Linked DNA regions of Tribolium castaneum. The protein of the gene in region 1 interacts with the protein of each later gene in a pairwise test. Links are inferred from orthologs where the notes say so. Each region holds a gene or a part of one and is shown in the gene's direction. Other genes may lie near its edges. The genes, in order: Vps51 and Exo70.

The links.
Region 2: the proteins of Vps51 (region 1) and Exo70 interact in a two-hybrid assay, tested with the Drosophila melanogaster proteins (2 studies listed by BioGRID). The link is inferred for Tribolium castaneum from reciprocal best matches to the Drosophila melanogaster genes Vps51 and Exo70.

The regions. Positions count from the first base shown.
Region 1 is NC_087395.1:17,182,761-17,187,025, forward strand, and holds the start of Vps51 (vacuolar protein sorting-associated protein 51 homolog), read left to right. Parts: upstream 1-1,392; 5' UTR 1,393-1,497; coding exon 1,498-1,578; intron 1,579-1,624; coding exon 1,625-1,759; intron 1,760-1,803; coding exon 1,804-2,630; intron 2,631-4,265. Other genes in the region: Ttd14 (TRPL translocation defect protein 14), read right to left, coding at 629-666, 725-792, 841-898. UniProt on the Drosophila melanogaster protein: May act as a component of the GARP complex that is involved in retrograde transport from early and late endosomes to the trans-Golgi network (TGN).
Region 2 is NC_087399.1:7,152,446-7,156,271, forward strand, and holds part of Exo70 (exocyst complex component 7), read left to right. Parts: intron 1-759; coding exon of another isoform or gene 760-783; intron 784-833; coding exon of another isoform or gene 834-1,058; exon of another isoform or gene 1,059-1,098; intron 1,099-1,154; exon of another isoform or gene 1,155-1,177; 5' UTR 1,178-2,725; coding exon 2,726-2,776; intron 2,777-2,821; coding exon 2,822-2,987; intron 2,988-3,060; coding exon 3,061-3,260; intron 3,261-3,312; coding exon 3,313-3,654; intron 3,655-3,826. Other genes in the region: stet (uncharacterized protein LOC657740), read right to left, coding at 760-783, 834-1,058. UniProt on the Drosophila melanogaster protein: Required for exocytosis. Thought to function in intracellular vesicle targeting and docking before SNARE complex formation.

The DNA.
Region 1 (4,265 bases):
CATTTAAAACAAATCACGTTTTATGTTTTAAATTGATGCCAATCACTATCCTTTGTGATAAGTGATGAGATAACACAAAATGGCTTTACATAATCCAACCTTCTACAATTTATCTACAATATTGGATGATACTGCAATGTTTTGGGTAAAAAACATAATATTTGTTTTGGAACAAAAGTGAGGTCACTGGCAAGACCATAACTATTTATTTCTAATACCTAATTAACTGTGATTAAATTCATTAACTTAAAAAATAATGAAACGATTAGAGATATTGTTGGCCACCCATTAGGCCATTAATTTTAGCTCAAGTGATAAATTTAAAAACCACGTGCTCCCTGATCAGGGCAGAGATCCAAAACACAGTTGGGTATTCAAGAATTACGACCAGACTTTCAGACTCCACTAGGCCCCTATTTCTTGTGCATTTTGCATTAATTTACAAATTCAAAATTGGTTGGTAACAGAGTTGCCAACAGAAACAGTTATTTCGGACCACTCCGTATAAAAACTATAAACGGTCTTTTTGTGGTAAAAGGCCGGGTGCCAAAACACAATTTTATTATTTTCTGGGCTAAATATGGGAATATGACTCAATAAAACATTGGAAAACGCTGATGACACCTACCTTAGTAGAACTGAGGCGGTCTCCGGTACCCTGAAGACCTGTGGGAGCAATAAATTGGGTTGCGTTTTGGTAATAAAAAGTGAAAATTGGCGTTACCTTCCATCCCATATTTTCGAAAAACGTGCTCAGCCTGGCTTGACCGGTCGTTTTTCCGCCACATGGTCCTGTACAAACCCAAAATAATCTCGTGGAGGATCACATGGTCGACTTACCTCCTGTTAGGACAACTCTGTAACAGGTTTTATCGTTGCCACTGGTCGTTTTATCCATATTTCCGGTGTTTTGACGAAACTTAGTTTTTCCAATTGAATTTTGCTAGTATTCGAGAAGGTGATTTTGTTGTGAAAGGTGAAGAATGAAAATCAAAATTTGTAAGCACTAAAAGAAATAAACCGGGTACATGATCAAATTTTACTGTATATTGATTTCATGATTTGTTATTTCGCGAAAGCGACAAAGGCTGACACGCGACACCGCACAGACGCGGGACTAAAGAAATGTGAGCGAATTTGAGTCTTAAATAAACATCGTCGCTGATAAAATTACATTTTGGGGAGGGAGTTTCGCCGCAGAGGGGTGGCCACACTGGAATCAATACACGTGGTTCCCGTGGCGCAAACTTCGAATCCCTCGCCCATTTACGCAAAAAAACGACGCATCCTAAGCACAATAACGCCAACACAATAATAATCAATCACTTTGTATCGAATTTTATTGTAAATGAGAATTTTTACTGATTTATGAACTGTTTCGAGCTTGTGCACACTCTGCCACTAGCACACCTGATCATCTGTTTTGACGTTTTGGTGACAACAATACAAAAAATGTTTTTTGAGTTCTTTTTCAATTAAGTGTTCAAAAACCCAAAAATGGCGGAGAAAAAGCCCAGCCCCTTGGACCTGAACAGTCCCAGCTTCAACCCCAACATGTATTTGGATAAATTATTCAAAGTAACAATAGCCCCTTTTTCACCCTTGAACTGACACCCTCTTGCAGGAGTCCAACTTGAAGCAAATAATGGACCACGAGAGCGAAATCGTCAAAGACACACAAACCTTGCATTCCGACATGCAAACCCTAGTTTACGAAAATTATAACAAATTTATTTCGGCTACAGACACCATAAAAAAGGTATTGGTGCGTTTTTCTTTCCGAAAAGTGAATTAGTGCCGTAGATGAAAGTCGATTTCAAAAAAATGGAAAACGAAATGGACCTCCTCGCCTCAAACATGTCGTCAATTACGTCGTTTTCCGACCAAATTAACTCGACTCTTCAGGACACAAGGAGCCAAATTAGTAAATTGTCGGGGGTGCACACGCTTTTGCAGCGCCTCCAGTTTTTATTCAAACTGCCAACAAGCTTGAAAACTCGAATGGAGGAAAAGCGATACATTGAGGCGGTTCAGGACTATTTGCACGCCCAGCGTGTCTTGGAACAGTACGGTAACTTGCCATCCTTGCAAGGCATCAAAACCGACTGTGAAACCATCCTTATTGAGCTCAAAAAAGAACTGAGGAAGCACTTCAGTAACCCTCAAGCCTCGGCCAAGGAACTGACCGAAAGTGTGGATTTGCTCCTGCAACTGAACGAGCCGGCCAAAGAGTTGTGTTCTGAATTTTTGATTTGTGCCGAAAAACGTCTCAGTGACCAACTAGTCATGCTGAAGGACCAAAGCGAGCAACGGGACATTTCCGAATTTATTGATTTGGGTTGTTCGGGATTTTTGAGCGATTTGTGTCTGGTTGTGGCTTCCTTTGACGACATGTTTATCAATCGCAACAATTTGGATAATATCGAAAATAGTGATATTTTCGAAAATTTTGCTGCAACTGAACTCAACAACTTTGTTAAACAAAACATGGCGAAGTATTTCGATTTGGTGCAAAATAAAGTCGATTTGGAGCAGGATGTTGGAGATACGGCTGTTTTAGTTCAAGCCTTGGACCGGTTTTATAAAAGGATTGAAAGTAACACACTGTGCAGGGATGTGGATTTTTCGGCGTAAGTGGATAATCGTTTTAATTATTTTTTTGTTGGTAATTTTAAGTCTTCTTTTTAATATCTGAATTCTAGATTATAAACACTATTTTAAAACACGTTTGCCATAGCAACGTGTTTTGAATAAAAATGTCTTAACAAAAAAAAATTAATAACATTTATACGAAAACGCTGAAAGTTCTCGGGTGTCTAGGTATACACTCGCATACACTCGTTGCATAACGAAATTTAAGCTTGTGTTTTCGCACTCGTATTATTAATAACTATTTTTTTATGTTTTTGAATACAGTACAAACTCGTTTTTAGTCATTTTAATTTTTAACCAATCAAAACAATACTACAAAGTGATTTTAAATGACTTCTATTTAATTAATTTTATGGAAGTTCATTTATAAGTTAGTATAATACATCACTTCATTACCTAAAATTATTTTCAAATCTACAGCGGTCTTGAGAAATCAATTAGGTACAATATAAACATTTTTTTTATGAAATATTTTTTATTTTACTGAACGTAGCTTTCAATATTGGTATTTTTCTATAGACTTTTACTGTAGATTCCGCTTAGTTTTTGAAATGTAATCTAATTTTTTTTTGTGAAAAGTACTACACAAAAAGTAAAAATACGAGCCCTAACAACTAAGGGCCGGTTTATAAAAAGCTTTGTTAAAAGTTAATTCGTCGCTAAAAGTTAACAACGCGAATGGACCAATTAAATTTGTTCAATTTGGTCACGTGATCAGTTAATCACGCATTTAATTGCAGATTAACTTAATGACGTTTCTATAAACCGACCCTAAATGTTTGAAAGAATACATTTTTGTAAAGGAAATGCATGTCAAGCTACTGAATGTTTAAATTTAAAAAGGCATATTTTTAACGAATCTGTAACAGAATTCAGGCGTTTTATTGTTCCAAATATGTTCTGTTTTGTTTTTTAAATCTTTCAATTACCACTAAGAAAGATTTCTAGGATAACTTATCATTTTGTGCCAAAAAGACACAATGATATTGAAATCAGGGCTAATAGCTGGTCAAGGCATAACATTAATGTAAGAATTACCAAATTATTAATTCAAAAGTTTTGTGGTGTGACAAGAAGCACCTTTTTTTTTAAATAAACATACCTTCGGGAACGTAATAATTTTTTTTAGAATCCCATGAAATTGAAGGTCAAATAATAATACAAAACTGGATAGTCATATGTTAAATTTTTTAGCTCCTTACATTGCCAAGCGAAGTGGGAAAATTTCATCGTTTAATTTTTTTTTCTAATAACTTATTTTCTAATAACAAAGTTCAGAAAACACTTTAGTATTTAGTATTTAGTGAATTTCATAAGTTTGAATCCATACAAATTATAAATAGTATTGTTGTAATAAAACCAGTTTGATAATAAATAAATAAAATGAATAAAAATAAAATAAAACTAAATAAAAATAAAACAAGATTTCGTCCAAACATTTAGTTATTAGGGCTCGTACTACAGAAATCAGGTTTTCACATTTTTAAAGAAAGTTCAAACTTAAAGCTGTACTACTTGTACACATAGTGCAATTAAGAACTTAAAAAATTACTGTAATAAGAAATAATAGTTGATTTTTTTAATATCTTTTTTGTAAACACTTATTAAATGTT
Region 2 (3,826 bases), on another chromosome or scaffold:
AATAAATAATTTTAATATTAAATGCTAAATATTTAAATTTTATTAAAACATATTTTTTTAACTTAACTCAAAAACTCAAAGGAATTTCGAAAAAAAAATAAAAAAATGATCACAATTTCAAAGCACTTAATGATGTGCTTACTATTTTTAAGACTAAGGATCGGTTTATAAACGTCATTAATTTAATCCGCAATTAAATGCGTGATTAACTGATCACGTGACCAAATTGAGCCAATTTGATTGGTGTATCGGCTAAATTTAGGGAAATCTCATGAAAATCCCTTTAAAATAACTTGATTTATCTAGAAACGCAGTAAAAAACATATCTTTTTATTCAAAATAAGAAAGTTAATACCGACTTCCGGTATAACCGGAAGTGCCGCCATGTTGAAAATATCGCGGCTTTACACAATTTGCAGATACTTATAATTATTAGAACATTCAGTACTTTTAATATGCCGTTTAAGCGAAACAGCCTGTATATTGTGGCGTTTATTTAAAAAGTTTTTCTTTTTAGGTTTACTTGATTTTCAAAATTTTGATTTTTCAAAGATTTTGGCGGTTTTGAATATTTTTTTTTCTGAGATTTGACATGATGGCCAGTTTTTGATAAAATTACATAAAAGACACGTAATAGACATCAAAAAAATAAGAAAACATGTTCACTTGTGATATTAAAAGATGCTAAAAGCGAAAAAAGCACTTTCCATACTCATCAGAAACAGTTATTTGTTGGATTTTTTGATCATCCGTGTGTACCTTGTCGAAAAACTGGCGCCATTGCTGTAATAAAAAGTATATATTTTGTGTTTTTTGCATTTTTGGGCGCTCACGTCTCGTAAAAGTGTTCGTTTGAGTTCGGCCTCGTCCGATTCGCTCGCCAGATCCGTGTGATCCGTGTCGTAATGATCCGGAAACGAGGCCAAAGATCCGGTGATTGTCGCTATGTGTCCGGGTTCGATTCCGGATTCCGATGATTGGGCATGAGTAAGATTTGTTGGCAGGATTTGGGTGGTAGAGGGCGACACTCGATGAGGCCACGCCGAGTGCGACAGCATAATACCGGTAACTGCATGGACCGGTTTGCGTCTCGGCTAACTAAAATTTGCAATTTATGCCAAAAAATTGTCTTTGCATATTGTTTTTTATTTTACTACTGTTATTGTTGTTGTTACAGCTGTGAATGATCCTTGTCGCCGATTAAGTGGTACGAAAACTGAAAAAATGGACGAATTTTCCTCACAGCACCATTCACAATCGGAAAAACTCAACGAAAAGGTTTTCCTCGCACTAAAAAACCATACACCTGTCTCAAAAAAACTGAAAAAAAACAAAAACACGCCACACGTTCTGCACTCCGGCAATTTCCACTTTTCCCCAACGTCAACTCGAAATTCCCCTATCGTGAAAATTCATCCCCTCTCGAGAAAATCGTAAGGTTTCATTGATTTTAAATCTAGTCGGCCGGGGGAAGATTGGGGTGGTTTTGGCCGAAGTTAGGGTGAAACATTTGACGGGCGACAAGCGTGAATCACAGAGGGTGCGTGTCTAGACCAAATAATCAGAAATTCCGTTTCTTTTCATTAAATTTAAGGGAGAATTAGATTTTTTCGAATCGTTTAGGGATTTGTTGTTTGTCAAGTTTGACAATGTTTTTCTTTTAAATAATCATCTTGCTTTCGCAGTAATTATACATTACTTTATGTTTTCCACCCAAATGCGCGAAGGACGTTAAAAACGTATAGAAAATTTCGAAAGTAGCACTTTATTTAGAGTACAAATATTTAAGGGTTAGGATATGAAAAGATGTAGAAAATAAAACGTTCCCGTCCTATGTTTTCAGACCAATGAATTTGAAAAAAAAATTGTATACCGTTTAACACATAGCAAAGAAAAAAATATAGGCACATAGAATATTAAATTCTCCATAGTAGGACATAAACATAATACAAAAATTTTATCGTAAACTATATTTAAAAAAACTTGTACCAATTTGCACTCTACCCCATATTTTTCAAAACGCTGTGAATAGAGTTACAGATGCAAGAAAAATGTTAAAAAGAAAGTTGTAGAAAATTAAATTTTTTACAAAAAAGTCCGGGACACCATGTTTTTATGAAGATAAAAACATGAAGATAAACTGTTGAAGAACAGTTTAGGTATAAATTACGTTTCCGTTACTTGAGCGTTTTTGAACGTTTTTAGAACCTAAACTGTTGACGATAGAGATATGGCGTCACGAATTTTTTATATTAAATTTATTTCTCTACAAATTTCTTCAAAATTATTTCCTTGTATCTTTAACTATATTCGCAAAGTCTTGAAAAATACGGGACGAAACGCAAATTGTAAAATTTTAATAATTTTTTTTCTCGTATTTTTTTATGAAAATTTTAGACCATTAAGAGTACAAAGCTCAATATTTTCGCGTTTTTTTTCAAGTAATAGTGAATTCGTTGGGTTTAAATAAATTTGGCGCCGAAACAATATAACGTTTGAAGCGCCCTCATTTTTACTCCACCGGACTATTTTTTTGGGTTCAGATAATTTTGAGATTTCGTATTTTCTTTCGTCTCCTAACTTATAGTCCTCCGTAGCATTCTCTAGTTTAGGGATTTGCCAATTGTCAAGTTTGTTGATTTAGTAACAAAAGACGTCAATAATGTTTTGCTCGTAAAGTCTTCAATTTTGGAAATAATTCTCCAAAATATTGGGATTAAACAAGATGAATATTATCGAGGAACGCACTTATGAGATTACAAGCAAATTGGAGAAAGTCAGTGATTTGGTAATCGTGACATAATCTAACTTATGCCCGTAGGAGAAATCTAACCTATCTTTGCTGACTGAAAGACTGAAAAAAAGCTCTCAAATCACGAAAGGCATTGATACGATTCTCAATTCGTTTGAGGAGCGTCTTTCACGGCTTGAAGACACTATTTTACCGGTCTACAATGATACCGAAAATTTACAAAAATCACAAGTCAGTATCCTTGAAACGCCCCTAGTTTTCGTCTCAAATATCAAATTTAGTTGATTTTCCTTGACTCAAATAACCAGATATCGACCAAACTCTCACATATCTCGACGATGTTATAAGCTATTACAACGTATCAAGTGACGTTGAAAGCACAATTGAGAAAGGACCTGGTGAGAGCGGTATCGATTTAGACGACTACATCCACTCATTAAATCGCCTGGCGAAAGCCCAGAAATATTTCGAAAAACACATCCCCCAAAGCGTGGAACTCGAAAATGTCGTACGTCTAACCCCCATTTTTTAGGTCAACAAAATTTAAAACAGGTTTTTAGACCACTTTATTTCATAAAGGTAGCGACAAACTCAATTCCGAATTTAAAACAATTTTGGACAAATACAACACTCCAATGCTTCCGGTCGTTCTCCTCGATTTGATCAATTACGAGAATTCTGACAACCGCGAAAAGCTCCCACCTGTTCAAATTCCAGACCATACGAAAGCCTATTTGATTAAAATCGCAAATTGGCTACTTGACAACGGCCGAGATGAATATTTAACAGTTTATGGTAAAGTGCGTGGGGCTGTTTTACAGCGGTCTTTGACCATGTTACGCAACCACCAGAAGAGCGTAAGCGGTGGGAGTGTCCATGGTGTTGCCAGTTCACCAATGCTGGTTGGTAACTTGTGCTGGTACTAGGGCTGGGCAAGATAATCGAGTAATCAGTTGATTAATCAAATAATCGGTTAATCGTTATTGACACAAAGTACGTTCAAATATAAAAATTTTATCCGGAATTTTTCGGAACTATTCGGGTTTTTCCGTCGGAAATAAACCTTTACTCAGA